Linked DNA regions of Drosophila melanogaster. The protein of the gene in region 3 interacts with the protein of the main gene of each other region in a pairwise test. Each region holds a gene or a part of one and is shown on either strand. Other genes may lie near its edges. The genes, in order: chn, prc, Tbc1d8-9 and AhcyL2.

Region 1 (6,381 bases), on a different chromosome or scaffold from region 3:
TTATAAACAAATTCACCCACATGGCAGCCTCGATTGGGTGGCGGCATATCCCGCCGATTTTCGGCGTGGGCTGATTTTTAGCCGCATTCGATTTCGATTTCGGGTTCAAGACTTGCCATTCAACCTTTGGTTGGCTGGCCTATAAATTTGCACTATCTCTGATACTGTTGCCTTGCCTATATCTACTATATGCATGACTCATATGTAAATGGGGAACTCCCAGTGCAACAACAACGACAACTGCATCAATTCAATGAAATTGAAAGTTACAGGCAATCAATGGACTCTAGTGCATCTTGGTCGCCAAGTTGTTGTTACTGCAGGTTTGCAGGTTGCGATGACGCTGATTTTGATCGCACTACTCATTTATGCACATACATGTACATATATCCCCCGCAAAAGGAAGAACGCCAGCGATGTGTGGCTGCAAAAATGCATATGGTGTCATGAGGTGAAGAAGATGCATAATGTCTATTCGGCCAGACAGACCTGGAAATGCCCTATCATTCGGAAGTAGTTTTTAAGTTCCTTCATGAAGTAATCATAATATATGAAATATTATTTCATTTGTTAAAATTAAGTTCAGTAGTCAATATGTACACATGACTGCTCTTTAAAGATTTAAAATGAAAGACATAAGCGTATTTCCCGAAATCAAGTAGTTACCGAAAGGTGCACTGAAACCCACATACCTCAACCGTAGGGTAACTGCAAACAGGTTAACCCTCGAAATGGAGCAGCCTGAGCACCCTACTTTGCCTTCATTGCCACTCAAGTGGAAGTGGCCGGCCAAGGAGATGATGATGATGGTGGTGATGGAAATGGAGATGATGATGATCGCGGATAAAGGAGCTGCCTGGTGACTGGAACCGGTTCGTGAGCAGCCGTCAGTGGACAACATGTGGGCCACCTCGAATCCCCCTGAGAGGTTCTTTCGGAGGCAGTGCTCACTGGGCCTGGGTGGACCCGTTAGTCCATCCTTGGCCCGGTGCAAGCTGTGATATAACCAACGATCCCCGTAATGAGCCTGACCAATTACAGCAGCACATGGCTTCCTACGGCCAGCAAAACCTGTTGCCCCTGAAGACGAAGCCCTTCTTCGGTTTTGCAGTTGGGAGAAAGTCTCCTCGCTGGAATAGGGCTTCCCATTTTGGGCGCCACTTGTGAAGAGGAAATCTGCCTGGCACTTCTCAAAGGGGTCGAAACTCTTGCACTTTGTCACGTCTCATTTAACTTGGGAACCCCGGGGGTGGTTGTGCGATCACTGGTTCCCACTGTATAGTTCGCTCCAACCCTTTATATACGTACACTATCTCACATCCAACATGCACAGAGAAAAAAGAGGGGACATTATTGGTACAAATTTGCATACTGTCTATGTAGGCATTTGTTATAATACGTTGCCTATATGTTGTTATATCCCGTTGATATAGGATTCAAACAATGAAAATGTAGTACTAGTTGTGACTTCCTATAGATCAAGTGAGTTCTAACATAATTTCAAAGAGCAAATCTTTAGATTTCCGTAAATGTTTTTCCTATGTGGAGACACCCCTTGACGAGTGGGCGTGGGACACGGCCACGCATGCGCAACTCCCTCCGAACTCCCAACTCGAATCCACTTTGTCTGAGTGGGTGGGTAGTGTGTGTGTGTGTGTGTGCGTTTTCGAGACTGGGTTTGTTTTGAGCATTGGGTTGGGTACAGTCTCCGCTTGGCTTGCCTTGCGGTCGGGTGAGTCACTGGGTCTTGGCCCCTGGGTGATTTTTTCAATCATCATCATCAGCGTGGGGAGTGTGAATGAAATGAAGTCAACAGGAAATAGTCAGTTTGCGGCTAAGAATAAAATCAAATGATCGCTACGCTTTTTTCATGTTATGTAGTGACTACCAAAGAATCAAGTTCAAAAAGTACATAAGGTTCTTTTGGAAATAAAAGAAAGTGATCGCTAATATAATGATTTCCAATTTTAGTCAAAGTTTTCAACAATGCTGTCATGTATTGTTGGGTTAACGAACTCACTTAGTTGTTATTGCTTAACGAACTTGCTTAACTTTGTCTTATAGTCTGCTTCCGTTTTCCACCCCTTTACTTTCCAATCTAAAGGAATATGCGTTGCATTCTAGGCATTTTCCAGTGCTTGGCTTCGTTTAACTCGAGCTTAAAATCAATTTTTGTCGACGAGTAAAAAGCAATTAAGCTGTCAGTCTATGTAAGCAGCTTCAAAAACACAACTAATTTCTATATATAATCCATGGAGACGCCATGAAACGAAATTCCGTTGCCGGTATCCCCCTACCCCGTACATAGTATTTATTTATATAGGCATAATCCCGGGCAAGTGCAATTCGACTGCATACAAATTGCATTTTCCATATAATATATAAATGTATAAAATATGTGCGTGGGAATATAATCTTATATATATAAATATATATATAAAGCACTCGAATGCAGTTATTTGCATTCTGCAGCAGACATTGCCACCCACAAATTTTCACCATATTGCCCATGGCAACAAAAAACCACACATTTTTAGTTTTCATTTGAAAACACCATGCCACAAACGGAATTCGTCAAAGGCAAAATAATCAAATACAAATTATATAACTCCTACATACATATGCATACATATGTAGTCGCATATGTTGCATAAAAACCGAAACCCCAAAAAATCATATGCAAAACCCCCCATCGAATCGAAATGAAAATGCATCTCTCTCTTTGGAGAGAGCGCAAGCCTGTGCCGTTATTTTCTATTTTCCCAGAGAGCGCGAGAGTGAACGAACGGAAGTTGAACTCTCGAAAGTGCAACACAATTCCTTTGCACTTTTTTGATAAGGGGTGTGGGTCGCTTTTTGGGGTGGTGGGTAGGTGGGTGGGGTGGTTGAATATAACAAAAATTGTTATAGACACAAAATTTATGATGTGCTCCGGCTGTGAAAAACAACCACCCACCCAGGAGCGAGAAACTAAGGGGGTTACGATAGGTGGGTGCGGGGGGATGGGGGCGGCAGTTAGTTTTCAAATGCCAAAACAGTTGAGCTATTGTCGCGAGAGCGGGATAGTAATACCCTTCAAAGCCATAACGAGAGCGAGAAAGAGGGTGGGTTGTGCATTGTTTGGGGGTTGCTATACCGTTGCATAGAGCGCCTGCTCCAATCCACACACCAATACCATTTGTTTTTATTCCACTGTGTGCGTGTGTGTGTTTGTGTGAAGTATTGATGAAGGAAAAATAGAAGTTGGCGCTTTTTAGTTGGGGGTTGCTGCCCCCAGTGGGATGTTTCTCTGGAAAAAGTGCATACCGAAAAAGATACGCACACACACACACAAACGCATTGCGGAAAAATCAATAAATCACTTGGCTTGGAAAATAGATATGGAAAGGCCCCCCCTCCCAGGAAAATCAATTAATAGATACTCCATGCTACTCTGATCCGATTTGTTTTAAAATATTTTATTCACCAACTTACCAACATGTTAGCGGAGGTTTTGCAGCCAGCCCCGGAGTATGCAACACTTTTTCGCCTCTTTTCGCGCGGCACACTGTTTAGTAGGTTTGTGTTTCTCCTTTGCAGCTGGAAATTAATTTACTTCACTGATTTGTTAAATGATTTCCTTGATGCACTTTTCGGTTTTCCGACTTAACGAGAACGGACCGCGTTTCACAACTAACCTCATCAACACTCACACACCGAATGAGATTTCGTGACTGAATGAATATGAATGGTCGCGGAGGAGCGGATCCTACGGCGATTCTCCGCCACCCACTCTTTTGGGGTGGCTGATGGGTTGGGCGGAAAATTTCCCGTCCCTCCCCCTATTGGGCCAAGTAAATATGTTGTAATATTTAGTTTTGTTTTTGCGTCTGCGATGCGTTGCTTAGTTTGCTGTTGTTGCCGCGCCGATTGCCTGTCGCGTAATAATAATACCTCTCCGACGTTGTGCAATTGTGGGAAAAGCTTCCTGTCTGCGCCGCCCTGCTTCTTCTTCTGACACCCCTCCGCTTTTCCGCTTTCCACAATTGCAAAAAGCGCGCGCATTCCGCAACGCTCACGCTCCCACGCATAACAAGTGGACTCTCCGGCAAAACTTTGTCACTAAGCTAAAAAAACGATTCTAATATATAAATAGACTTATTAATTGACTTAAATTAAGAAAGAGTATATTAAAATAAAAAAATAATTTATTTTTTATTTGTCAGTATCGGGGTATTATCGATAGTCGCGCCGAAAACATCCGAAAACATCGAATTAATTGTATTCAGCGCGGAAAAAAGGCCACAGCAAAAAATCTCTTAAGTTATTTATTTTTTTTAATTATCTGTAAGTATAATAATAGTTGAATTTATTATTTGACTAATTAAACAACAACATATGATTTTTAAAGACCAATTTTCTTATTTGTTAAGCTTTCATTTGTTAAGCTTAAAAGAATTTCCATTACATAGAATGCTATTGAAATTGAATTTCATTTGCAATCCTCCTTAAAAATTACATTTCCGGTTCCATTTTACAATAATTTTACATTACATCATACACGATTACTACCTTCTAATATTAGCTGTGTCACTAACCCATTGCGAACTATTTTGGAGCTGCTTTCCGAATTGCTACACTTGTAGAGTTTAAGTTACCACCTAGAATTCTACATACGGTTATTTGATTAATTTTATTTGATCAATAAACATATTCACTGGATTATAGCCATGTACAATGCTTAGTCATGCCAACTCTGTCAATTTGTAAAATGTTTTTAAAATGCTCACTCGTATTTATAATTTTTTGCCAAAAAGCTGCCAAACAAAAACTGTTTTAATCCTCGATATATAAAATATTATAATCTTGGTTTATTAGTACAATGTACTACTTATTTTAAGAAGGCCAGCAGCTTTGCATAATACATTAATAATAAAATACTAATTAAATAGTACTGACATGATACATTGAAAGAGAACATTGCAGACAAAAAATAGGATTTATTCATCTGTAGGATGACCCACTCCACTTTAAAGGCCAAGAAAAAACATAAAAGGGAATTTCATTAAAACAGATTAGCGTAAGGTGCGCAATCTTTAATTAATTTTCGCGGATTTTATGTTTTTGCCCTAGCCGCAAAACCATTCAGTCGAGTGGCAAAACGATTGCAGGTAAAAAATGGCTACCACTTAGCCATGACGACGTTCATTTTTAGATTTTCGTCATTTTTTCGTCCACTTTTTCCGTCACTTGAGGACAGCAGTTTTTTTTAGCGGCACCCAAGTTTTAATCAAATTGCACATGTGACCACATAGTCAGCCATATAACCCATAGCCCACACCACAGACCCCAAAACTCCTTTGCTAACCTAATTTTACAGTTGCCTCTTCAGCTGCACTCACACACGCAAACAAAAACACACACACACACACACCAAAATACAGGATTTTTCATCTCCATTTTTGAGAATTTTCTGCAACGTCAACTGTCTCGAAAAGTTTTTAATCAACGTCACCAACAACAAGAGCGTTTTTCTTTTTTCTTGCATTTTTCCTACTTAACTGTTTAATTTTTTGTTCGGTTTTTCGTGTTGCCTTTTTTCCACAGATGGCCTCGATTTTTGTGGATATTTGCCGCATTTTCACCGAAAGCAAATTCAATGCAATTAAAAACAATTCATAATGGTTGTGCCGAGGAGCATTTCCCCCCAGTAATTTGTCTCCAGAGCTGGGAAAAATAAAAGGTACATGAAAAATAAAACTATGGCCCTTTTGGGCCGCTTTGCTGTATTTTGCTGGTTGGCAAAAATGATTTTTGTGTCCAACATTTGACGGCAAACGGGCTTTTTGGTTTATGCATTTAATTAAAAACGAATGAGACCCAAAGCCAAAGTCCGAGCCACAATGAAAACGCAATGAAAACGAATAAATATGAAAGGACTGGGCGACAGGAGCAAGTGCAGATGCAGATACAAATGCACAGATGCGGATGCATAGATACATAGATACTAAAGTTGCTGTTTGGTTAAAATATGCAAACAAGAAACGGAAAAACTTATTTAGACGCCGCTCCAGACAGCAACAAAAATAAATGTATCCATATATGTGGCTAAAGAGCCACAGAAGCCAGCGAAAAAAGCAAATTGTTTCTTTGGCTGCTTATGAAAATGGCGTCACACACATGCACTTGCGCCAGTGTGTGTGTGTGTGTGTGTCTATCCCACGAGTCTGTGTGTGTGTGTGTGCGTGTGAGTGGGTGGGAATTGGCTTTTCTTTGTTTTTCTTTTTTTTTTTAAAGCAACACAATGGGACTTGGAAACTTCATTCATGCAAATGGCGAACGCCAGAAAACGCTTTCAATTAATGGGATAATAAATAAAAGAGCTCCGCTGACCGATTTTGT
Region 2 (9,080 bases), 9.4 Mb from region 3:
TTGCAATCGAGACAACTACCGAAAAACCTGAGGATGATACAACTGTAGAAGATTCAACACCGATTCCTGAGGAAACTACCACTGTCGGCCAGGAAACAACTTATGATCCTGAAGGGAGCACCACGAGAGAAGACGACACAACTGTTGCAATCGAGACAACTACCGAAAAACCTGAGGATGATACAACTGTAGAAGATTCAACACCGATTCCTGAGGAAACTACCACTGTCGCCCAGGAAACAACTTATGATCCTGAAGGGAGCACCACGAGAGACGACACAACTGTTGCAATCGAGACAACTACCGAAAAACCTGAGGATGATACTACGGCAGAAGGTTCAACACCGATTCCTGACACATCTACTACTGTTAACCAGGACACAACAACAGACGAAAGTAGCACTGTTGTGACTACGACGAATATTCCCAAGGAGAGCACAACGTTAGGCGATTCTACCCTATCACCGGGAGAAAACAGTACTGCAGGACAAGTTTCTACAAGTACCACGCTAGTATACGATACCACGAGTAGTCCAATTCCATCTTCCTCAAGATCCACAACCTTAGAACCCTCATCAAGTTCTTCCCCTGAAACCACAACTTCAAGTCTACCACCATTGTCTTGCAGTACCGGGTATCAATATTTACCCCATCCAACAAATTGTCATAAATATATTCACTGCAGCAACGGGCATGAACTAATTATGGAGTGCCCAGCTAATCTTTATTGGGACTATCATAAATTTGTTTGCAGTGGAGATTCAGGTGTTTGCTACAACGACACTGAAAATTCCAATCCAGAGGAGAAGGTTTGCGGACCTGGAGTGGATTTCCTTGCACATCCAACGGACTGCACCATGTATTTGCAGTGTAGTAATGGCGTGGCATTGGAGCGCAAGTGTCCAGATCCGCTGTATTGGAACCCGGAGATAAAGTCATGTGATTGGTCCAATAAATATTGCACAAATCTTCGGGCGAGTCAATCGATTTCTTGCGCAGCGGGCATGAATTTTAACGTTTTTCAAAGCGATTGCTCCAAATATGTCAAGTGTTTTGGCCTGAGAGGTGTTGTAATGAGCTGTAATTCAGGACTTTACTGGAATCCCGTTAGTCAAGTTTGCGAAAAGTCCCGGCGATTCTGCACATAAGAGTAAGTCCAATTAAAGTAGACAAAATTTTAATAAATAACATGCGGACACTTTTTTTCAGGAGCAGTGCAACGGCATTATTCATTGGACAATATTTACCTAAGAAATGAATAAAAAGATTGCGAATTATTAAAAATTTATTTATACTGTGGAAATTACAAATCGATTAATTAAAGTTAGCAAAATTATTAATATAATGAAACAGAAACTGAATGTTAAATTCCTATTGTTGTATATAAAAAAAAAAAAACACATTCAATCGCATTTTTATTTCACTGGGGTTTTTTTTTTAGATGATCTAAATAGATATTTTTGGATGCATGCAAATTTATTTCAATAGACTGAGACACTTTGGTAATGAACTACCCTATTGTTATAGAAACAAAAGGTAGTCTCAAATTCATCTCAAGGTGTTACAAAAAATTGGTCTCAATATAAATTCTTATTACGATGTAATAAAAATTTCATAGCACTTTATTCCCATTAAAATTGGAAAACAAGGTTAAAGATATTTTTAAGTGCAATTGTATCTAGTAAAATAAGTAATGGGTACACTGTAGCCGGATTATTTGCTTTCCACAGTTCCTAGGCCTTTTTCGTAGATCTTATCAATCTAGGTTTCAATTAAAAATATTACTAGCCTTGAAACACACCCCATACAGACGATGGGTATTCAAAAATTGAAAATTTAATGCTTCAGTTCAATTTAACACATGGTTTCATAGAAGCTCTTAGCAGATAAGGGTATAAAGCCGAATTCAACATTGAATGGGGGCTGGTAGAGACTGCTCTATATATAGATATGACGATGGGTAGTCTAAACAGAAAGCGAAAGCAAATAGTTAGTCTCAAAGGTTATCTGATTAAATTACTTCCGCCAATTTTTGATTTGTAGAAATAAATAAGTGGCTTGGGAAATCCAAAGCCCAATCGATAAAGCCTTCGCCAGATGCAAAGAGAGCACATACAAGTCAAGTGAATGAGTGTGGGCAGGGACACACTTGAAATGTATCCAAGAGATACACAATTGCGTATCTTTATATGCTAATAAATGCCAGTACATTTCCCTAAAATGGGTCAAAAGAGTCCCCCATCCGTTGGCATAGACTACGATGTTGTAATGCCCATAGAAACTCATTTGTCGAGGGGGACGTCAACGCGCCGCCCCTTCCATCGGCAGGCCAAGCCAGACCAAGTGATCGATTGACACGATCAAAGCGCTGATACGTAATGGAATAGACACTCGAATGAATAGCACTGGCGACGAGCTCCCAGCTCGGGCTCCAAGTGCCCTGATCCGCCTCACAGATACCAGCACTCTGCGCTGGTGTGGATCCTACATAAATATTCATGCTGGCCAAATGCAAATGTATTGGAAATTGCTCGCCTTCAATGAATTTGAGTTCTGCTCAAGCTCTAGAGTTTTGATGCTCGTACAGGGCAGCGTTATTCGCAATCCAGCAGTTGTCGCGATCGGAAGCAAATCGGAAAATCTCCATTGGATTCCTAGAACACGCAGCCGAAAAAGTATGTGCCTAGGATGTGTGCCCTCGCAGCAAGGACATAGAGCAAAAACAGCTCTCAAATACAAGGGATTAGTGAAGAAATAAGATAACAAAACATCCTATTAATTGTGCATTACGAAACGGATTACAACTTGTAGAGTTTTATTTGATAAAATTTAAATGTGAATTTCTATATGCAGTGAAATTGAAATCAACCAAAATACAGGACCTTATATCATTAGTAAATGGTCAAAAAGAACAATAAGTGTGTAAATTATAATGTGTGCAAACTAAGAATCTTGTACTAATCGAATCATTGACAACATCTAAACACAATTATGTGAAGATTAAATTTTCTTCCCAAATTTATTAAATATTTCTATATTCAAATATAAATATGTACATTCTGTAACAATTCATATTCGCCAGGATAATCACACAATTATCCTTTCGAAGTGTAAAGTGCTTATGTGACTTTCTTGTATTTTTTACATATAAAAATCAAAATAAAGATGTGAAAAGCGAAAGATATCAAAAAGGATATGTACATATGTATGATTTCAGACTACAAATTCAAACACGTTTGTGTCAAGAACTAAAATTCGAAACTTACATTAATCAGCCTTAGCGATTACATCACTCGCAAGACTGAAATATAACTCAAGATCGATTGCCTTTTTTTTGGCATCTAATAGCACAGCGTGCGTGCTCATTTTAAAGAAAAGTGATAACCTCTGAAAGTGACGGACAAGAAACACAGAGAAGGAGTATAAACTAATAATAACACGCATCTATATGGTGTATTGATAATACAATTCAATTTCATCTTACAGTTTGCTGGTTGTGTTGCCGCGACGTCGACGCCTTTCAATTGGATTCAGGGTTTAATTTATTGAAATGTTGCCCTTTCGCTTGGGCCTGCTACTTGGCGCCGTGCTATTCGTGGCAAGCGCAAATGGAGCTGCCATCGTAAGTTTCCGAATTGTTAATGAATCTCCCCGAGAATTGTTGCTTCTCTGTGTGTGTTGAATGGAACTAGAGTAGTGTAATGTAAATGAACTCGGTTCGAAAAGTAGGCGATAAGACATAATTTGACCAAGGTCAGTTTCTTACAAGCAGCATCTAATCGGGCACACTTGCACAGACCCTTTGAATGAATAAAGATTAGACTGACATTAGCATTGAATTTAAATCGATGTATTAACTTTCAGGAAAATGAGGTTTCTAGTCTGAACGACTTGCAGCGGGAAAAGAGAAGCGGCAGAGGCTAGTAAGTAGTTGGTTAACAACTATTTTGGACCAGATGGGCTTACTTCCTTTCCATGTTTATCCGCAGTTCGAGGGGACAAACCCAGTCTCAGTACTTAAATTTCGGTAAGCCTGAGGAGGATGGAAAGGCTGAGGCAGAGGCTACCGAAAATGGATCTCGCTCCACTGTGTGTGAGTACGGGTCAGATGAGATTCATTAGCACTTTGTCCATTGACCTCTTGACCTCTTTCAGCTGGCACCCATGGAATGGGTCAGGCTCAGAGCCAGTTCTCATCAGGGGACTGCAATGGATGTTCTGGCTACCAAACGGATTACCCTTCTTCAGGCAGAATTCTTGATGCTAGTGGATCCGGAGGCATCGGTAGACCCGATTCCATTATAAGCTTACCCGGAGGTGGTAAGTCGTATATAATCAAAATGTATACAGTTTGATATATGTTGCTCTCCCTGAAGTTGGCGGACAAACCGGAGCTGGACAAGCCGGATACGGAAGCCAACTTGGAGTTGGCGCTCAGGCCGGTGCCGGACAACCCGGATACGGTGACCAACCTGGAGTTGGCACTCAACCTGGAGTCGGACAGCCCGGATACGGAAGCCAACCTGGTATTGGCGGACAGACTGGAGCCGGACAGCCCGGATACGGAAGCCAACCTGGTATTGGCGGACAGACTGGAGCCGGACAGCCCGGATATGGAAGCCAACCTGTGGTTGGAGCTCAGACCGGAACCGGACAACCCGGATACGGTGCTCAACCTGGAGTTGGCACTCAGACTGGAGCCGGACAGCCCGGATACGGAAGCCAACCTGGTATTGGCGGACAGACTGGAGCCAGACAGCCCGGATATGTAACCCAACCTGGAGTTGGAGCTCAGACCGGAATCGGACAACCCGGATACGGTGCCCAACCAGGTATTCTTGGACAGACTGGAGCCGGACAGCCCGGATACGGCAGCCAGCCTGGTATTGGCGGACAGACTGGAGCCGGACAGCCCGGATATGGAACCCAACCTGGAGTTGGAGCTCAGACCGGAACCGGACAACCCGGATACGGTGCCCAACCTGGAGTTGGCACTCAGACTGGAGCCGGACAGCCCGGATACGGCAGCCAGCCTGGTATTGGCGGACAGACTGGAGCCGGACAGCCCGGATATGGAACCCAACCTGGAGTTGGAGCTCAGACCGGAGCCGGACAACCCGGATACGGTGCCCAACCTGGTGTTGGCGCTCAGACTGGAGCCGGACAGCCCGGATACGGAAGCCAACCTGGTATTGGCGGACAGACTGGAGCCGGACAGCCCGGATACGGAAGCCAACCTGGTATTGGCGGACAAACTGGAGCCAGACAGCCCGGATATGGAAGCCAACCTGGGGTTGGAGCTCAGACCGGAGCCGGACAACCCGGATACGGTGCCCAACCTGGTGTTGGCGCTCAGACTGGAGCCGGACAGCCCGGATACGGAAGCCAACCTGGTATTGGCGGACAGACTGGAGCCGGACAGCCCGGATATGGAAGCCAACCTGGGGTTGGAGCTCAGACCGGAGCCGGACAACCCGGATACGGTGCCCAACCTGGAGTTGGCGCTCAGACTGGAGCCGGACAGCCCGGATACGGCAGCCAGCCTGGTATTGGCGGACAGACTGGAGCCGGACAGCCCGGATATGGAACCCAACCTGGAGTTGGAGCTCAGACCGGAACCGGACAACCCGGATACGGTGCCCAACCTGGAGTTGGCACTCAGACTGGAGCCGGACAGCCCGGATACGGAAGCCAACCTGGTATTGGCGGACAGACTGGAGCCGGACAGCCCGGATATGGAACCCAACCTGGAGTTGGAGCTCAGACCGGAACCGGACAACCCGGATACGGTGCCCAACCTGGAGTTGGCACTCAGACTGGAGCCGGACAGCCCGGATACGGAAGCCAACCCGGATATGGAACCCAACCTGGAGTTGGAGCTCAGACCGGAACCGGACAACCCGGATACGGTGCCCAACCTGGAGTTGGCGGACAGACTGGAGCCGGACAGCCCGGATATGGAACCCAACCTGGTATTGGTGGACAGACTGGAGCCGGACAGCCCGGATACGGCAGCCAGCCTGGTATTGGCGGACAGACCGGTGGCGGACAACCCGGATACGGAAGCCAAATTGGCGGACAGACTGGAGCTGGACAGCCCAGCTATGGAAGCCAACCTGGAGTTGGAGCTCAGAATGGAGCCGGACAACCCGGATACGGTACCCAACCTGTTATTGGTGGACAGACTGGAGCCGGACAACCTGGATATGGAGGTCAAACTGGAGTCGGTGGATCGCCTGGATTTTTAACTCAGCCAGGTATTGGGGGTATAAGCGGACCGATTGGAGGGAAACTCGGTGGCGGACAATCAGAAGCCGCAAAACCTGGATATTGGGCTCAACCTGGAATTGGCGGACCATCCAGATACGGCAGTCAACCTGGAATTGGTGATCAGACCGGAACCGGACAGTCAGGATACGGCGGGCAGCCTGGAATTAGCGGACAGACCGGAGGCGGACAACCAGGATACGGAGGACAGGCTACAATAAGCGGACTCCCTGGGTATGGCACTCAGCCAGGAATTGGAGCACTAACCGCTGTTCCTGGCGGACATTATGGATACGAAACTCAGCCTGGAATTGGTGGACAGACCGGAACCAACCAACCCGGATTCGGTGGTCAACCTGGAATTGGCGGACAGACTGGAGCCGGCCAACCTGGATATGGATTTATAGGTCAGCCTGGTATTGGAGGGCAAACAGGAACTAGTGGAAGGCAACCCGGTTACGGAACCCAACCAGGAATTGGCGGACAGACTGCAGCCGGACAGCCCGGATATGGAAGCCAAACCGGAGTTGGCGGACAGATCGGAGCCGGACAGCCCGGATATGGAAGCCAACCTGGAATTGGCGGACAGACTGGAGCCGGACAACCCGGATACGGTGCCCAACCAGGTTTTGGAGGACAACCCGGATACGGAAACCAACCTGGAGTTGGCGGACAGACTGGTGCCGGACAGCCCGGATATGGAAGCCAACCTGGAATTGGCGGACAGACCGGAGCCGGACAACCCGGATACGGTGCCCAACCAGGTTTTGGAGGACAACTCGGATACGGAAACCAACCTGGAGTTGGCGGACAGACTGGAGCCGGACAGCCCGGATATGGAAGCCAACCTGGAGTTGGCGGACAGACTGGAGCTGGACAACCCGGATACGGTGTCATACCTGGATTTGGAGGACAACCTGGAATAGGCGGACAGACCGCCGCTGGAAAGCCCGGATACGGTGGTCAACCTGGAATTGGTGGATCACCTGTGTATGGAACACAGCAAGGAACTGGAGGTCAATCAGGAATTAGCGGTGGCCAACCCGGGTACGGAACTCAACCTGGACAAACCGGAGCCGGGCAACCCGGATACGGAAGCTTACCTGGAACAGGTGGTCAGGCCACAGCTGGCCAACCCGGATACGGACCCGGATCTCAACCCGGAATTGGCGGACAGACAGTTGGTGGGCACGGTGGATACGGTAGCCAACCCGGAATCGGTGGAGCGCCAGTTTATGGAACACAGCCAGGAGGTGGCGGCCAAACTGGAGTCATTGGAGGGCAGCCCGGACAGATCGGAGACAGAGTAGGACAACCAGGATACGGAACCCAGACAGGACAAATTGGGGCACCAGGTCGATATACAGATGGAAGTCAAACTGTACCTGGTGCTGTTGGCACCGGTGGAGTTGGTAAGTAGCTATCAAGGCGGTGGAAAACAATGTTTTGAATTGCTCGTTTCCCAGTTGCTGCCGGTACCAGCGGAGCTGACGATGCCTTCTCCCAAGCCGAGTCATCAATTGGCGACGGACAAGCGTCGGCAAGTGCTCAGGGCAAGAAGAATGGAGGCACGGCCAAGACTCAGGTGTCGGGAACTTACAGCTCCGGCGGAACCTTTAGCGCCAGTGCAATGACGTCCGATGCTGATCGTGCGGCCAGTGCACAGGTTACCGGAAATGCTGATGGAGCCGTGAGTCAGTCTCAGGGATCGGGAGGTCCTGCCCAGTCGCAGGCCCAGGTACAGGTTGCCAAGGACGGCGGCACCAAGGCCTCGTCGCAGAGCGGTGGCATCATCCAACAGAGCCAGAGCGAGGTTCACGCCAATGACAAGGGCGGCCTGGCGGACGCCCAATCGAGCGGACCCGGACAAACCTCCTCCCAGGCCCAGATCGGTTTCCGACCCGGCCAGGAGGCCAATCCTATAGCAGCTAATGGTGGCGGCCAGGCATCGTCCTCATCTGGCACTCATTCCAGTCAGAGTAGCTCGCAGATTCACGGAACATCGAGGTAACATTGCTATAGGATTATTGATTATTGACTTTAGCCACTCATTATTGGTTTTGTATTTCAGCTTTGGTGTTTCTTACCATGGTGCTGCACAATCCGCGTCGGGAACCAAAGAGCAGGTTGCTACTTACAGGGAAGCAAACAGGGAACTCTTCAATACCATCAGTCAGTTTGGCAACAACGCAAATGCGTAAGTAATCGGAAAAGTGAAGAAAGAAAGAAAAACATGTTTTGGGCTATTTAAAAAAAGGGATAACGTATGCTTCTGTGGTTTTTAAATTGGCAAAATATGTTCAAAATTGATTTCGAAAAGTCACACACTTTAGCTCAATCAATTTATTGTGATTTTATAACTGCCATGCCTTTATGGAATTCTTTAGCATAAAACGTATTCATTTTTGTATACTTTTTGAGGTTATTTATGTTGGATACATAAACGAATAAATCCTTTAAAATTTCTAACTACTTTTGCTTACTTACTTTTCAAATGGGAAGTGCGTGCCTCTGTAAAATTTATACGATTGTATTTTATTTTCTTTTCTTTAACTTTCAACTTCCAGTGTTACTGATCGAGCTGATGCTGTCTACAGTGGACCCGCGCTTACTGATGAGTCCGACAGGGTGCCAGAGGCGCAACTGAAGTCCACCAAGCCCAAGGAGGAAGCGGAGCAGGTAGTGAGTAAGCTAGACCACCCGGAGCCCGTTCAGTACGATGATGAAGATGAGGCCGATCCTGATGAATACGATGAGGATGAGTACTATGAGGAGAAGCCAGTGAAGCTAGAGGAATCCCCAAAGTCGTCCAC
Region 3 (9,182 bases):
TACGAAAAGATTGCCGTAATCCGTTACTATGACGAGACCAACATCTCTAGGAACAGTCTGGCCAAGATGTTCCACTGCTGCGCCACCCAAATACGTAGAATCTTGGATAAGAAAAAGGATCTGCTGCAGCAGTTGGCCACCTTAAGCGAGGCAGATGCCTCCATTATAATCGAAGAGATGACGCGCAAGCGCCGCAAGTTCGAAATGAGTGCCATCAGCTTCCTACTACACGAGTGGGTGGAAAGGTGCATCCAAATGCAGTTGAACATCAGCATAAGGAACCAAAAACTGAAGGAAACCGCCATCCGGATGGCAGCTGTGTTGAACCTGCCATCCTTCAGACCATCCTATCGATGGCTAAGCCGATTCCGCAACAAGTACAAGTACGAGGCCGATGAATTGGGCTACCAGGGCGAAAATCCCTTGAACCAGGACCTGCCTGTCGAAGACATCATTGTGGAGTTTAAGCATGCACTGCCGAACTTCATGCAACGGGAGCTGGATAATCCAGGCGAAGCAATCTCAAAAGCAGCTGTTATGGCAGATTTTGTCAATCTCTCCAGCGAAAACAGTATCATGTCCGATCATCCAGAGGGGGATAATGAAGTGGAGCTGGTAACATGTGAGCCCACCATGATGTCCTCACCATCCAGCACACCAGATGCTGCAGAGGGGGAAATACCTCTGCAGGCACATGGCGACCAGGAAAACCCGGATGATCAGATTAACGCTGGAACCAGTACTCTTCTGAATGGGGTTTTTCCGCATCTAGCCATTATCCACCAGTTCGCTCTGATGAACTCGGATGTACAGGCATTGGAACTTATCTCCCAGCTGGGAGTGCACATGCAGCAACAGGCTGTTTCTGGAGCTTATCATAACCTGTCGCTGGCGACTACCGATGGAGATGGGCAAGACGATCCAGGAGAAATCGCTCTTTCGGAACTGCCACCGGGAAGTATTTACGCCGATATCGATGACATCGAATTGATCGAGTAAAAACATCAATTTATCAAAAGGTTAAAGCTAGTCTAAACTTATGCCTCAGCGTAGTCGACTGTTATTTATAATCAACAAATCGTTTTGTTATGAACTTAAATGAGTTCATTTCACCAAAAAAGTACTTAAGGCCTTCGACTTTTATTAAGATTAATTCTTAAAACAACAACAATAAGAGATCTACTTCATAATTTAGTTTAAATCAAATTCGATTTGATTGATTAAAAGGTTAATAAACCAGAATTGCTTATTATGATCATGTTAAAATTTAATAATCCGCAGATAATTTGGAAATGGTGGTAATTTGGGATACGTAGTTTATACGAATCGAGAAATATTGTCTATACCAAGTTTATAAGCTATATCTAAACATACCATGCGTTTGTCCGGAATAATTATCATATCAGAACTGCATTCTGGAGTGGCTAGTTGTGGCTTGACCTCGCCCTCCTCCTCTTCCTCGCCCTCCTCCGCCTGTTGTTCCTCCTCGCCCATGTCCATGGGACTGTTGAGGACGACGAGATCTTTGGGACATGGCCTATCGACCCTGGCGTCGTGCTCGACGAGTCCAAAGTCCTTGCGCGCGGCCAGAATTCGCTCTCGCATCTCGGCATGGGTCTTTAGCTCCGCTGGAGTTCGTTGTGGCACGATGCACATGGTTAAATCGTCGTAGAGGTCACATTTCTTTTTATAGGGCTTTGTGAAGCGGGATTCCTCCGCCTTGTGGTGGATGCGACGCAGCTCATCCTCGATGGTTAGCACTTGGGAGATCGTGGAGTTGGGTGGCTTTTTCTGACAGACGCGATCGCGGGGCGGACAGTTCTCCGCCTTCCATTCCGGCGACGTTTCGTTGCCCAGAAAGGTACGAATCTCATAGGGATTGTTAGAGGGACTGCACTCGGCGTTCACTTCCACGAATTTTTTCAACATTTTTGCAAAACACTGACGATTTTGCAGGAGTTGAGAATAAAACTAGTAATTTTGTAGCACGACACGTTCGTTGGGCTTTGAACTTGTTATATAAATGAGAGGTTTCAGTTTCGATTTAAAGCTAAAGGCTAACTATGTAATTTATATGGTAACTTTGCGTAATATTAAACTGTTAATAATGAACATTTTCTGTTTCTCTATTCGGCTTCTAAAAGCCAACAAGTTTTTAAATTGGAGAGAACATATTTCGCTTAATTGAAGTTAAGATACAGATTCATATTCTTAGGTTTAACTAAACGTTAACTATTTGATTCAAAAATCGGACGCAGAGTGCACCCATTCACAATAGATTGCTTAGTTCTTTGTGCGTTTTGTGCTTTCCAGCCAACGGGCACACTTGCCACAAAAACAGCAATCAGCGCTCGATGCAGAATTAAACAAAGAGTAATTTTGTATTTAGAGCCTGGCACGGGCTAAGAACAATCAAAATGTGGATTCAGCCCAAGGAGCTGCTGCTTCCCTCGGCATTTTGGTGAGTTATAGCCCAAGTCCGCAGCCGAATCGAAGGATTGCCGAAAATCCAAATTAAACACGGCTGCATGGGTGTGTGGGTGAATTGGAATGGACGGCATGTGTATATGCAATGTTATGTTTATGGAAGACATCTCATGGAATGCGATTATCGCGAAGTGCAGGCGGAATGGGGAGCCGCCGATCACGTATTTGGATTAGGCACAAACGTCGTACTTGCAGCTAGCTAGTTGAAATGCATTTGTTGATAACTAATTGAGCCAAAAGTTCAAGACTCCAACTCTTCAGATCGCTGGTTCTGATTTCGAAACGCAAAAAGTGCCAGCTGTGTAAAGTCAGCTTGAAAATTGATTTCCAACTGTTTCCTGCTGCGTAGAAAAGTGCAGACACCGCCCTCTAGAAAATAGCCCCCGTTAAGTGGGGCCCTCCCCCCTTGATAAGCCGACTCTAAAGGTGAACACCATAATTTTCGCCCACAGGATTGCCGAGATGCACTCGAGATACTTTGTCCTGCAGAAGAGACGTGGCCATGGGGAATCACGCGGATTCGGTTCCATGTTGGTGGGCACCTACGACAGCGTGATGAACACCAAACCGGCACCCTATCGCATCCTCCACCAGACGCCCTCGTCGGAGGTGTCTTACGGTAGGTCCAATATCTCAGACTCATCCGCTCTATCAGTTCCAGTACCTCGGGTCTATTTCGTATGTCCAGCAATCGGTGACCGTGAATCATCGGGCTTTGACTCGCATTTATGGGAGTATGCCAATATTTCTTTCATCTACGGTTCCCTCGGCGCTTACGTAAACATGGAACGGAGCTGATTACAAAAGCTGCGGAGGCTGGATCGTTCCTTTTGTTATTCAATTTATATTATATTAAGAAAAGAAGGCAACTGACGGAGTAGGGTACTTGAAAACCAGGCATTTTCATCTCAACATGCGCAAGGCGCTGAAATGCGTGTTATCCTAAAGTTTAGTAAAAAATGTTTAAACTAATTTTTGGTATCTTACTGTGCCTGTAGAATAATTAATTCCATATCCATATTGTGCTGATATGGTTTTTAAGTCGTGTTCTATAGATAAAAATATAAAAAAGATTAACAAGAATCTATTCCCTACAGAAATCGCCATTGGCATTACCCAGGATGAGATTGTTAAGGATTGGGAATGGCTGAAAGCTAATCTCTTTAAAGTGCTGGACGAGATGGAGAACGAGGACGAGGTGACCAACTTTACCATATGCAAGATCCAATCTTTGTACACGCAAAACAATCAAGATGACACTGGCGAATCGGCCGATTTCAAGGTTATGAAATCAAAGTTTAGACAGATTTTCAAAATGCCCGAGGAAGAGCGATTAGTTATCTCTTATTCGGCCACGTAAGCATATGTTCAGTATACATTAAAGGTCCATATTTACTGAATATTGAATTCCAGTTATGTAAAAAACAAGATACCAAGGCAGGGTCAGCTATACATTTCGCTAAACCACGTCTGCTTTTACTCCTACATGCTGGGTCAAGAGATCAAGCGTATTATACGCTTCGCAGAGCTGGAAGACATCAGCCGAAATGCGAATACCATCTATCTAAAAACCACCAATAACATGACCTACAACTTTACAATGCTCTTCAACGCCAGCGATGCACACTTATTGATTGAGCAGCTCAACAAAATGGCCATACAGCAGCTAATCCATGATCCAGATAGTCCTGTGGTCGACCACGATACTTCTAATTTCTCACGGTTGGGTTCCAAAACGTCCAAGAAACCAGTTCTACTGCGGGATTTGACAGCTCGCCAAAAGTCCGAGGAGTTTCGTATTTACTTTCGATTGCCACAATCGGAAATAATTGACGGAAAGATTAAGGCCAATATCTGGACACCTTACTCAAAACGATTTAATTCGGGCTTTATCTACTTATCGCCGAATTTCTTTTGTTTTCGTAGCGATGTAAAGGATTTGGTCAGCGTGGTTATACCCATGAAGACCATAAAGGTTCGCAGACCATAAATGTACTCGATTTCGATAAGTTTTAATTATTGTTTGCACTCTAGAGCGTTGAAAAGAAGGATGATGGCCAGCAACGTTTCGAAAACCAAATTGTAATTATAACATCGGAGAATGTGCCTTTCATGTTTGCTCATATCGTGGACAGAGCTGTGTTGATCTCCAAGATCACAGACCTTCTGGCTCGAGTTCATGTGTAAGTGTTAGATTAAAAATCTATGTTGCTATACTTACATGTATATATTGATCCTAACCATATTATTTAACGCAGTCCTTTGAGTCGCGAACGCGCTAAGTACGACATTTCGTGGAGCAAGCAGACCGCTCTGATGAACACATTCAAGACACAGTTCAGCGCAGAGATCATACAGAAGCAGGAGGAAAAGATGGTGCGCTGGGAGGCGCATTTCCGGGACTTCGGACGGGGCATTGGAATGTTCCGCACAACGGACGTGATAAATCTAATAGTGGAGGGTATTCCTGACAAACTGCGCCAGGAGATCTGGCTGATATTCTCGGGGGCAATCCACGACAAGGAGATGAATCCCGGACTGTACGAGGATCTCGTAGAGAAGGCGGCTTGCATAAAGAACTGCTTTGCCCACGATGAAATTGATCGGGACTTGCCGCGTTCGCTGCCCGAGCATCCGGCATTTCAAAGCACCGATGGCATAGGTGCTCTGCGGAGAGTCCTTCAGGCCTATGCGCTGCGGAATCCACAAGTGGGCTACTGTCAGGCCATGAATATTGTGTCGTCGGTGTTCCTGCTCTTCTGTGATGAGGAGAACGCATTCTGGATGCTGGCCAGCCTGTGCGAGAACTTACTACCGGACTACTACAAGGATAAAGTGGTGGGCGCCCAAATCGATCAGGGTGTGCTTAATGAGCTAGTGGAGACGCATTTGCCTGATTTGCACGGCCATCTGGAGCAGTTGGGTGTGATTAAGATGATTTCCATTTCCTGGTTCCTTACCATCTTCATGAGCGTGATCAGCTACGAGAGCTCGCTGCACATCCTGGACTGCTTCTTCTACGAGGGCGCCAAGATCATTTTTATGATTTCACTGCAGATCATTGAATGGAACAGGGACAAACTGTTGATCTGCCAAGATGATGGCGAAGCCATGCTAGTTTTGCAGAACTACCTGGAGGGAGTCTACAATCCAGAGTACCAGGTGCCTCCTACGACGGACAAACGGAAGATGGAGCGTAAAGTCCAAACACAAACAGTTCAGACCCTGATCCATGAGGCATACACAAAGTTCGGTGAGGATATCACACAGCAGCGCATCGAGGAGTTACGCAACAAGCATCGCCGGTTAACGATGCGACAGTTCGATATCGACAACGAGAAGACCATTGTCAAGGCTTACGTCCAGAATCCGTATTTCAACCGCAGTGAACTGCATATGCTGCTCACTATCATCCGGGAGGAAAAGCACGCCCTTAAATCCCTGCAACAGCAGCAGCAGAAGGTTCAATGCCCGTTGTCTGAGACTCCCCAGCTGGTCCCTCAGTCGACAAGCAGACCGATCCAAGATGCCGGCGCCTCCGGAGGCAGATACGAGGCTTACAGTGTCAGCTATGAGGTATTCCACACACTTTTTACGGAACTGACACCCTGGCGTAAGTGCGTCAGCGTGGACATTGGCGAAAAATTGTTTAGGGTATGTTAATGATCTTGGAATAAGAATTGGCATGAATCTATATGTCTCTGTTTTCGTTTTCCAGCTTACTGATAAGAAGGGAACTGGTGTTCTCGACTTCGGACAGCTCATCAATGCATTGGGCCTGGTCTGTTCCAACAAGAACATGGAGAAGCTGAAACTCCTCTACGTTTTACATCTTCCGCCCCTATTGTCCAAAGCGGAGATTGAACGATCACGTCGCCCGCGCCCACGCACAAAAGATGATGCCGAGGAGGCTTTCGAGGCGGAGGATTTCTTTGAGTGAGTGTTTTCTGAGGCCCAAACTATAACGAACTAAAACCATGCATTTCTTATTTAGTAATGACGCCTCCGAGTCGATGGAAGCGTTGCCCTCGCCCTCGGATCACAATTTTGATGCCGATGACTTTGCCCTGATTAGTGCCACCCAGCATCTGCACAACCTGGCCGGAATCTCGGGAAACACATTTATGGACCTGTCACGCACTCCCAATCTGTCGGTGAACTCTAACACCTCCTCGTTGGCGCATCGCAGCTCAACCTTCTATGTGGACCTGCCGGGATTCCAGGGTACTGCCACATCCACAGATGCTGGGCGGGACGAAGACGAACTCCAGCGACAGCTTCGCCAGCAGGGCCGTTACGAATCGATTGACACATTTTCGGATATTTCAGATCTGGGAGCGGCACGCATTACGCCGCCCGAAGCGGGAGTGGGAGCTGATGTGGTAGCCGGAGCAGCCTCGTCTGCGGCCGCTGATCACATGCTTCTCAATGTCGAGACTATATCGAATTTCTCACAGATCAGCGACCTTGTTGCGGCCACACGTCTAGAACGTGTTGACTCGAATGCCACGGACTTGCGAAGCTTGGGCAGTCTTGGCTATCTGCTGGACCAGCCGGACGAAGGCGCTTCAAATTCGCAACACAGCATTCCCCACATGCGTAAGGAGAATTTTCAGCTGTTGTGGCGCAGTATCATAGAGATCATGGGTCTGGTCCAGGATGAAGAGATGCAAAGGGCTTGTAAGTATAGCCTTTAAAACGTGAAAGTACCATTCAAAACTATTGTTCATTTTTTAGATGAGAATCTCTTGGAGCTTGGAAACAGCAATATTAAAAAGGAGCCCAGCCTGGAGAGCTTTACCCAGCTAAATATGGGTGGCGATGAGGTATGACTTGCTTTGTCTTTTCAAAGATTCCCAACAATCAAAACAAAACTAAATTTTTCTTTCAGCAACCGGATAGCAATGGCAATCCCACCACTCCTGCACCAGAACCCATTGGCACTACCCGTCTATTTGTGGCTCTAGAAGAGGAGCTTCGTCAGGCGAGCGGAAAGTCCAGGACCACAACAACAAGCAGTGGGGACAGCAGCAGCACTAACATCTCCGAATCCTGGCACATATCTATTACCCAGTTTATCGCCACGGTTCTGACTGTCAACAGCATTGTAAGAGGTTTCCAAACACCAATCCAAATAAGCGAACAGATCGAGCAATTGCAAAAGAAGCGTCGCAAGTGTCTGTCCACCAATTACTGAATAATCATAGTCCCATCCCTGCCCTATGTCCTGTCCCCCCACAAAACTGTATTAGCCATATTCTATGAGAACCTGACCGATTCTTTATCCTTGTGCAATGCGACAAGCTTTTAAACGTATCCATGTTATATGTATGTATATTGTATTGCCTCTACCATTAAGTTAAGACAATTGTTTGTGAATATAATTCTATTATTCCTATTATACAACGCAGTCACATATAAAAAATTATCGATGCGGGATTTTTGTGTACATATTTTATGTACTTTTCGGGTGACATTTCCCGAATGGACACTTCGTAGGTTTCATACTTTTAGAGGTTTAAATGTAACAACAATAATATAAACTCATTTCAGAAGTTATTCGCACTGTCCATCGATCACTTATTTATCCATCCATTTGCACACACCTCTACTCTTCCATGGCCACTTGCTGCGAGCTCCTCCTGTTTGCCGACGCATGTTGTCGCTCGTGCTCCGCCGTTCGCACCAGACACTCTTCGTAGGTCCATTTGGGGAAGACTCTCTTGTACAGGTACATGAAAGCAGTGTCGTAGGATCGCAACTGCCCATCAAAGTAGCACTTCATGTGGCCGTGCGTGCCCAGTGACTCCTTAATGTGTCCCAGCCGTCCGCACTTGGTTCTTAGTTTCACAGGCTTGAAGTACTCCACATCCTCCTTGTAGAAGAACATGTAGCGAATAGAAGCCGACTTGCGATTGATACGCATGGGATGACCGCTGAGAACAACGCGCTTGAGAACAATACGATCTGGATTGCAGGACAGCAGGCGTCCACGGGCAACCAGCGCCAGGGTGGAGTCGGGATTCACCTTGAAGGCCAGCACGGGTGCCGGAGGGAACTGAATCGGTGCGTAAAACGTGGCGCAAACTGTTTCGTACGGACGGAAGTAGCGTTCGAACTGGATAAACATAATCCATTAATAAATAGTCAATTACAAATTAGTCCAAATATTACCTTATGCTTATCCCCATTGGTGTGCTGACTGTAAATGGGATTCACAACAAAGCGACGATAGCCGCACTGGATTATCAATTGTTCTTTAGACTTCAGCGGCACCTCCGAGTCGGGCATTCGCTGCAGTACCACGTTCATTACGCACATCTGGTGCTCATGGGGTAGCATTCCATATACAATAATGTTGTCCATAAGCTGGGCGGACTTGAAGGCATTCCAGCGGCTCTCAGGAACATTTATCACATAAAGAGTGACGTATAAACCAGGCTGAAAGCAAAAACATTATAATCTTATAAAACCGAATTTTTGGAAAATCCCTACCAGAACGCCCTCGAACTCCTTGGCTTCATTAAGAATCCTACGCTTGGTGCGGTCGAAGTTCTGGAACTGATAGATGCGAGCATAGTCAGCGGGAAGATTCTCCTTGGCATCCCAAGGCGAAGTTCGGAAGGACTCTAAGCCGCGATATTTCTGGAACCTCTCGCGAGCGGGCACATCCAAAGGAGTGTCTATCTCATCGG
Region 4 (7,647 bases), on a different chromosome or scaffold from region 3:
AGAGTTTCCCGTTCCGATTGATCTAGCTTAAGCGACTTCCATACAAAACTGGTCCTAGTCGATATTCTGCCTTTTCTCCGCCCTACTAGCACACTCCAACTTTTCTGTGGCCTAATCTGATTACTTTCCCTTATTAATTGATTGCTGGCTTTCTTCAATTTCTGATACTGTTCGTTGACGTTCTTCAACTGAAACTTGCAGTTGGCTAGACATTCTTCGAGTGCCTTGATGCGATCCTGCTTCTCAGCTAGTCTATTTTCCGCTGCCCTTTGATTTTTACGGGCCTGAAGAACCAAAGTTTTCTCCTTCATTATGATTAAATTGTGGCCCATTATTTCTAGCTCCTGCTTTTTCTTCTCATTTTTCAACATTAGCCGCAATTTATTCAACTCACAAATGGGACTTTCTTTTACTAAAGTTTCTGTAGTGGTACAAGATGACTCTTGGTACGGGAATCGCGACACTGAAAGAGATTTCAAGGCCTCCTTGACAATACACTCCAGTTCAAAAAGAATTGTATCAACGTCCAGTTGGAAGAGCGTTTTATTCACTTTATTTAAGCCTTCTTCAGTCTCAAGTAGTGTCAGGACCATAGACAAGCGCTTAATGTACCGAGTACCTACTCAAAAATATACGTATTTATATAATAATTTCACTTTGAAAGATTAACTTACATCGTAACAGAACTAAAGCCTTCGAGGATTGTTCTTGATTCCCGGACTCTTGACTTTCCGCAAATGTCTCCCTCAAGGACCTTGTGAAAAGAATTACCTTCCCTAAACAAATCTTCATTTTGCGAACTTCTTTTCGGCTCCATTCCCCGTTAGTCGCACCTACATGGGTGTCATTCTTCAAATCGGACTGTATTTCTTTTATCTGGCATACGAGCTCCTTTAATAACGAACCCATGGCCAGTGATAATTAAGTGAACGAAAGTGTGATCAAGTGTGTTATTGTGTGGTCAAGTTAAAAATCATACAATTTCTATCCCAATTTGACATTTCAAAATATAGCTACTGAGAATTTTAAAGGTATTGTAAATAGACTTACAATGTCTGACTGGTCAGTACTAGCATCTTAATTCAGCTTTAATGTTTTTCGAAAAATACTTTTTGGTTCCTATTATTTTATGATTATTTTATAATTTACTGATTATATATATCATATATTATGATATACTTACTGATATGTAAGTCCCATGTAGATATACTGAGACGTGTAGAAACTTCCACGTAGAATTTTTGTATTATATTGGAATCGAATAAGTATGTGTAAAATTGGCTTTAGCCAAAACACGAACCATAATGCTACATTTTACAGAATTTGTAAGTTAAATTTGCCTAATTGGAATGGACTTGAACCAATTGAGACTGATAAGACAATTATAATAATTATAATAATGTTAAATATTTAATAATTTTAATTTAGGAGTAATACCTACAATTAAATTTTCAAATAATTATTTAAAATGTATTTAAAACGAAGAGAATTTTAACTTCGGGTAGCACCAAGCAATTGGTATTTCTCTGAAATCAAAATGAAAAATTTAAAATATGATGTGTTGTAAGAAAACAGTGACTTGTATGCTCCCAAATTAAAACCATTTATGTTAAAATGTATTTTCATATATTTTCTAAATAATATCAAAATTACAGAACGAGAATAACGGGATAAAGCATTAAATACTGATTAATATCTGCAAATGAAATAAGTATATTATTAACTAGAGTGCAAAATTGAAAGGGAAAGAAGGGTAACCAACCTGTAGTAATTGGCTTTAAAAGGCCCGGCCTTGTTTAAGCCCATAAACTTGGACTGCTCATCCGTGAGCTCCGTGAGATGAGCATCGAAGGTGGCGAGATGCAAACTGGCCACGTATTCATCTGAAAGTATTCATTAAATTAATTTAAATTGTCCAAAGATTTCCTTAGCTATTTTAACTAAGAACCTACCCATTTTCTTTGGCAGCAGGTAGACATCCGACTTATATCTTCCTGGCGCTGAGAAGAGTTCAATCAGGGCCAAAGCCTGGGTGGATGAGGCCACGGATACGACAAAGGACGAAATGGTGGAACAGGACAAATTCACCAGTCTTCCCTCGGCGAGCAAAATGATCATCCTGCCGTCCGGCCACCTGATGTGATCCACTTGAGAACGGACACGCTCCCACGTTAGCTCCGGGGTATGCAAGCCATTCTAAAGTGGGTTAAAAACCTTTTGATATATGAAGGCCACAATGGAATCACCCCGAATACATACCACATCAATCTCCGAGCAGGAATGTCCCATATTGCAGAGGATACAACCATTCTTCATGCGATTCATGTGATCCCTGGTAATAACATTTTTGTTTCCAGTTGCCGTAACCACCACATCCACCGTCCTGATGACCTCGTTGAGCCGTACCACCCGGAATCCATCCATGGCAGCTTGTAGAGCACATATGGGATCCACTTCCGTAACATAAACAATGCATCCTTGGCCCTTCAGGGACTGGGCACAGCCCTTTCCCACATCACCGTACCCACAGATCACCACCTGCTTTCCGCCAAACATTATATCCGTGGTGCGTTTCAGACTGGAAGAGAATTATTAGAAAGGACCAGTCAGAGATAGTACTCTTCCTTAATCATGAGTATCTATGCTCACCTGTCCAGGATGGAGTCACGACACGTGTAGAAAGTATCAAACTTGTTCTTGGTCACTGAGTCGTTAACGTTGATGGCCGGAACAGTAAGTTTTCCGCCCTTTGACAGCATGTACAGCCGGTGCACCCCGGTCACACTTTCCTCCACGATGCCCCGAATGGCCTTGAAGTAGTCGGGGTACTTCTTGAGCATAAGGTGCGTGGCATCGCCGCCGTCGTCCAGGATTAGGTTCGGCTGCCAGCCGTCGGAGTAGATGGCCCTGTCCAAGCACCACCAGAACTCCTCCTCCGTCTCTCCGCGCCAGGCGAAGATCGGAATTCCCGCCTCTGCCAGAGCGGCGGCAACTGCGTTTTGTGTGGAATAAATGTTGCAGGCAGCCCAGCGAACTGTGGCGCCCAGTTGGACGAGGGTCTCGATCAGCACTGCCGACTGAGCATTGACGTGGGTGCATCCGACGATATTGGCACCCTTTAGGGGCTTCTCATCCTTCGCTCTTTTCCTCAGAGTCATGATGCCCGGCATCTCCGACTCGGCGATCTCGATCTCCCGCCTTCCAAATGCACTCTTCGAGATGCTCTTCACGCAAAAGTCAGTGCCTCCGGCGGAGTTGCGCTGATGGTTGTCCTTCGGGGAGACGTCTTCCTCGTCGGAGCTTCCGGTGAAACAGGCTAACAAAGAGATCAAGTGACCATTAAGTGAGTTCAATCGCAAGAGAGAATATTGAAATGGAAAACAATGATATCCTTTATGCTTCATTATAGATAGATCATGTAAAATAATGCTTTACATTACATCTTAGTCATAGTTATAGTACTTACTGGAACTGAATGAGCAGGTGGACACATCAGAAAACCGCCGAGCTTCAATACTTGACTTCTTCACAGCAGTCTATTGTATAAAAAATAATAATAATAAAGTTAAATGCAATTTAAATATTTATGTGGGATAAGCTTTGTTAACATTTTCATCTGGAGACCCGCAAATTGCTTTGTTTAATCGCGCGTATAATAATATCTAACAAACTAAAAGATAGACTCTTTCGAATTAACATAAATCATGTTATACAAAAGGGAGAAAATAATACAATAGACTTATTCTATTTTATCTATAATCAGGTGTTTTTTGCATATTTTAGCATCACCTTCTCGTGTTAATAACTACAAAATATATTTGCCCACATCTAATGAATTTGATTCCACTCCCTTGGCTTAGTATATATGTATAATATACCGCGTAATCAGGGGTAATGGATTCGATTCACAAACCCATGAATTTATTGCACTTTTCAATTAACAAATTGCCATCGAATATAAAGCATGCAAAATCGCACATATGTGAGTATTATTGGGATTGATTAATTCTTGATGGAAAACCTATTTGAAGGCGCGACTTTTGCGTCGTTTCCAGCTAAATCCAGATTTAAGTGCAGAGAAAAGCCGAAGCAAATACATTCGCATACATTGGTCACTAATTGGCATCGTTTAGCATACCGGCGATAATTCGTCGCGCCAATTGATTTCGAGAGATATGAAATCGCGAATATAGATCTATAGATCTACAATCCAGACCTACGTCTATGGCCTCCCGGAGTGTATGTAAACAGTTGAGTTAATGAAATCTACGACTGTATACCGTGGCCTATTGTGCCTATTGTTGTTTACGTTTCACTGGCCATATGGAATAAACATGCACTTGTATCTACAACATTATACCTTTCCACTATCTACGCATGACCCCAGCAGATCAATAATTTGATTACATGTTGAAAGTCTGCAGAGCTAATAATGTAAGATTTACTAGCATGATTTATGGCGGCCATGTTAAATATGTGTTTTGTTAAGTTCATAGTTCAAAACTGTGATAATTTAGTTCAGCTTTAATCAATGCTGCTTTACTGAATTTTTTACTCAATCACTTTCACCAAGGGTATTAAACGCTTCGAGGTGAATGTATCGCTTTAATTTATTGTTCAGAGAACGTCTTTGGGCGCTTTGTTTGGTTGTCGCAGTGTCACGTGCTGTTTTTATATTAATCGCCAAGTTCAGCGATTGAAACCAGTTGTGGGAATCTGGCCAACACACCTACTAACTTCAAGTGGCTAATAAATATTCACTATGCTGTTTCCTCCCATGGTTATATGTATGTATGTATGTATGTAGTTACCTTATCAGCCAGACTCAGGTCGGCAAACGTTGTCTCCGGCATTTTGGCCATTCTGTAGGCGCTGCGAGCAGATAAAGAATAAAACAAAAAGTAAACCAGCAGTTCGAATAAAAACAAACAATCAAACAAACTTATTCAGTGTCAGAACTTATTCAAAACGAGCAAACGACCTTCGGAGACTTACACTTAGACGGATCCGAAACAGGTTATAAAGTATGCTCGGCTTTGTCGCGTTTTATTCCGACTTCTTAAGTTCAATGCAGCTGAGAGACCGACTCTTATCATCCAGTGCAAGTGCTGGATGTCACCTAGTCTATGTATATCCTATATATGTTATCTCCTATATTTCGGCGGAGGCACAACGTCTGTTCTGCTGGAGATCTCCGATCAGACTAGATCGTCCCGCGTTTCGAATTCAAACGAGATCGCCAATCGATCGATTCCGCTGCCGGTCTGTTTGCCTAATGTATTTGTATCTAGAGCGATCTGCAATCTGCGATCTCCACGGATCGTCCGCTCGCGACTGGGGCACACAACACACTGACTCACTGCACCGGGTTTATTGGGAGGCAGCACGATCGTGTGGAAATACAGAAATACGGCAAGTAAAAAGCGAATAGGAAAAGAAAAAACCAAAAACACAACAAGTCCACGGAGCGAGTATCAGCAGCGGTTCAAATAAAAGATCGCCACATTTATGAGAATCTTATCACGACGCTGCCTCTTATCTCGGCGCCCGCCGCCTTCCCCCCCCTTATCCCTCTTGTCCGCTTATCATAATCACAACTTCACCCCATGCAGTATTCCTCGGGAGATTACGGAAATCAATTTAAGCTCTGACGTAGGCAAAGTGTCCACTCGGATGAGTGAACTTCATTATGGCACCTACATAGCTTAAGGTTGAAGTGCACTCTAAGTCGAGTTGAAAGGCTTGACATAATTGAAATTAAATGTGAAATATTTAAGCAGAGTAGGTTCTTATCGCCACAGGCACAAATATAGGAAGCTAAGTACTCTGGCCCTTTTGATGCGATCCAATAAAAGGAATTCAGCCCTAGAAAAACGTCACTCTTATCAAGGTTCACAAAAAAAGTGTGAGGTAATTATCATTAATTTTATAACGGCAATGTATCATATAAGCAATATCTGCAAATGTTATGAGACCTTCTCTTATAAAACAACAAACAAAACATTCTCGGAACTATGTTTAACACACACAAAAAATATTTAATAATTTGCGTTTGCATATCTCAAGACAAGTCATGAGAAAATATAAATTAAGAGGTATGTTTTAAAACTCAGTTTAATTTTTTTTGGCTAAACACATATTAGATGAAAAAATGTAAACAAACATTAGAACCTTCTTTCTTCTAATTAGTTTTTTCAATTAGTTTTTCAACGTAGTTTGGGTGTTTACAAGGGGTGGGTCGTAAAGTTTACTTTCCAACGTGCCAATCGGCCATTTTTAGCCATCGTTGCCCAATGATTTGATAGCAGTGAATTTTATTGAATGCCTGCGCGCTTTTAGCATGGCCATAAAGAGGGAAGAATTTTAATCAAGGCACCGAAACAGGGATTACGCCATCAACCCTCATCGCATGTCCTTGCGAGGGGATGCTCGTTAAGGGATGCAGCATCTGCGGTGGATGATTGTTACCTTAAATTGGTGCAGAGCTCCAGGGGTTGAGCAGTTCATAATGTCCATTCGAAGGTCTAATTGGTTGCTTTCAATTCCGAGTAGTATCTGCATTGTTCGTGATAAACATTTATTATACCGGCTTCTGTTGAGAATTCTCGTGATCTTGTAATCTCCTTTTATTGCATACACCAGATACGACCCTTTGGGGACCCAAAAACAAAAGATACAACTTCTAAGGGCAAGTATTTCGTTTATTCCATTAACTATTTTTGCGATCTTTCATAGGACTAAAATTATGAGAATGTACACGTCCTAAAATACAATCCACATTCCATAGTTCGGCTTTAGCAGTCACTGTCGCACTCGTATTGCACCTAGAGTTTTTCCAACTCTATCCTTATAAAAACCACAGGTCCTATATACAACGTACGTACTATATACAAATAGTTAAAACTACGCTTGCTTATGTACAAGAGTCTACTTAATACCGTCCGGGTACCTATATACAAGAAGCCGGGCTCTTGAGGCCCGTTTTTTTTTTTTTTTTTAAAGCGATCCCACTTTCTCCATCAAATACCAGGGCAGGAACACGGAGACGGCCACCACGGCAACACAAGTTGCGCACATGGCCACTGTCGCCGAGAGATTGGTCATCGAGAAGTGATCCTCTTTGTCATCCAGCTCCTCATGAGGATGCCTCTCGAACTCCAGGACCTCGACGTCGAAGCGAAAACGGACTTTCGACTCCGGAGAGTCCTTGCGCCACACCAAATGGCCAGAGGACTCGCGGCGCTCCAGGCTCCATTTCGGATCGTGCACTAAGAGGTGAAAAAAGGAAAAAGATGATTAGATATTTAGAAAAATAATAGAAGGTCATAAACTTTCTTTTTTCAGTGAATTAAATGGGTTTTAACTATTCATCAATACGTATATATGATTATCTTCTGTATTTAATCTTCTGTATTATTTCTGCCTTACAGACAGAATGATTTGAAAAAACTTGCAATGCTATTTGTTATATATATATTTTATTTTTTTTTTTTTTTAATCAACGAAAAAGTATTTGACAAAACTTTGTATACAACTATTCTACATTAGATAGCTAAATTGATATACCCATAAGTATGCTATAAATAATTTTCTTGAGCATTGCGTCAATCTGATCGTGACATTTCGATTGAAAGTGGTAAAACAGCT

Evidence for each region.
Region 1: the proteins of Tbc1d8-9 (region 3) and chn interact in a two-hybrid assay, tested with the Drosophila melanogaster proteins (one large-scale study listed by BioGRID).
Region 2: the proteins of Tbc1d8-9 (region 3) and prc interact in a two-hybrid assay, tested with the Drosophila melanogaster proteins (one large-scale study listed by BioGRID).
Region 4: the proteins of Tbc1d8-9 (region 3) and AhcyL2 interact in a two-hybrid assay, tested with the Drosophila melanogaster proteins (one large-scale study listed by BioGRID).

Annotation. Positions count from the first base shown.
Region 1 is NT_033778.4:15,112,782-15,119,162, reverse strand, and holds the start of chn (charlatan), read right to left. Parts: upstream 3,703-6,381; 5' UTR 3,475-3,702; intron 1-3,474. UniProt on the Drosophila melanogaster protein: Probable transcription factor involved in the development of the adult pattern of macrochaetae. Required for accumulation of achaete (ac) and scute (sc) in proneural clusters.
Region 2 is NT_037436.4:11,959,648-11,968,727, reverse strand, and holds the start of prc (pericardin), read left to right. Parts: upstream 1-2,596; 5' UTR 2,597-2,675; intron 2,676-3,486; 5' UTR 3,487-3,550; coding exon 3,551-3,622; intron 3,623-3,864; coding exon 3,865-3,923; intron 3,924-3,989; coding exon 3,990-4,093; intron 4,094-4,155; coding exon 4,156-4,320; intron 4,321-4,376; coding exon 4,377-7,679; intron 7,680-7,733; coding exon 7,734-8,274; intron 8,275-8,338; coding exon 8,339-8,464; intron 8,465-8,834; coding exon 8,835-9,080. Other genes in the region: Muc68E (mucin 68E), read left to right, coding at 1-1,148.
Region 3 is NT_037436.4:21,336,855-21,346,036, reverse strand, and holds Tbc1d8-9 (TBC1 domain family member 8/9), read left to right. Parts: upstream 1-2,320; 5' UTR 2,321-2,417; coding exon 2,418-2,461; intron 2,462-2,939; coding exon 2,940-3,106; intron 3,107-3,584; coding exon 3,585-3,843; intron 3,844-3,900; coding exon 3,901-4,462; intron 4,463-4,521; coding exon 4,522-4,670; intron 4,671-4,745; coding exon 4,746-6,141; intron 6,142-6,205; coding exon 6,206-6,423; intron 6,424-6,481; coding exon 6,482-7,167; intron 7,168-7,224; coding exon 7,225-7,313; intron 7,314-7,378; coding exon 7,379-7,684; 3' UTR 7,685-7,887; downstream 7,888-9,182. Other genes in the region: ebd2 (earthbound 2), read left to right, coding at 1-999; CG32436 (uncharacterized protein), read right to left, coding at 1,375-1,929; Tsr1 ribosome assembly factor, read right to left, coding at 8,096-8,605, 8,662-8,928, 8,983-9,182.
Region 4 is NT_033777.3:16,976,828-16,984,474, forward strand, and holds AhcyL2 (adenosylhomocysteinase like 2), read right to left. Parts: upstream 5,332-7,647; 5' UTR 4,996-5,331; intron 4,873-4,995; 5' UTR 4,863-4,872; coding exon 4,812-4,862; intron 3,537-4,811; coding exon 3,467-3,536; intron 3,317-3,466; coding exon 2,650-3,316; intron 2,579-2,649; coding exon 2,260-2,578; intron 2,197-2,259; coding exon 1,953-2,196; intron 1,884-1,952; coding exon 1,720-1,883; 3' UTR 1,697-1,719; coding exon of another isoform or gene 1,690-1,696; 3' UTR 1,612-1,689; downstream 1-1,611. Other genes in the region: Actn3 (alpha actinin 3), read right to left, coding at 1-619, 675-792; CG18622 (uncharacterized protein), read right to left, coding at 6,997-7,268. UniProt on the Drosophila melanogaster protein: Might play a role in the regulation of methionine metabolism.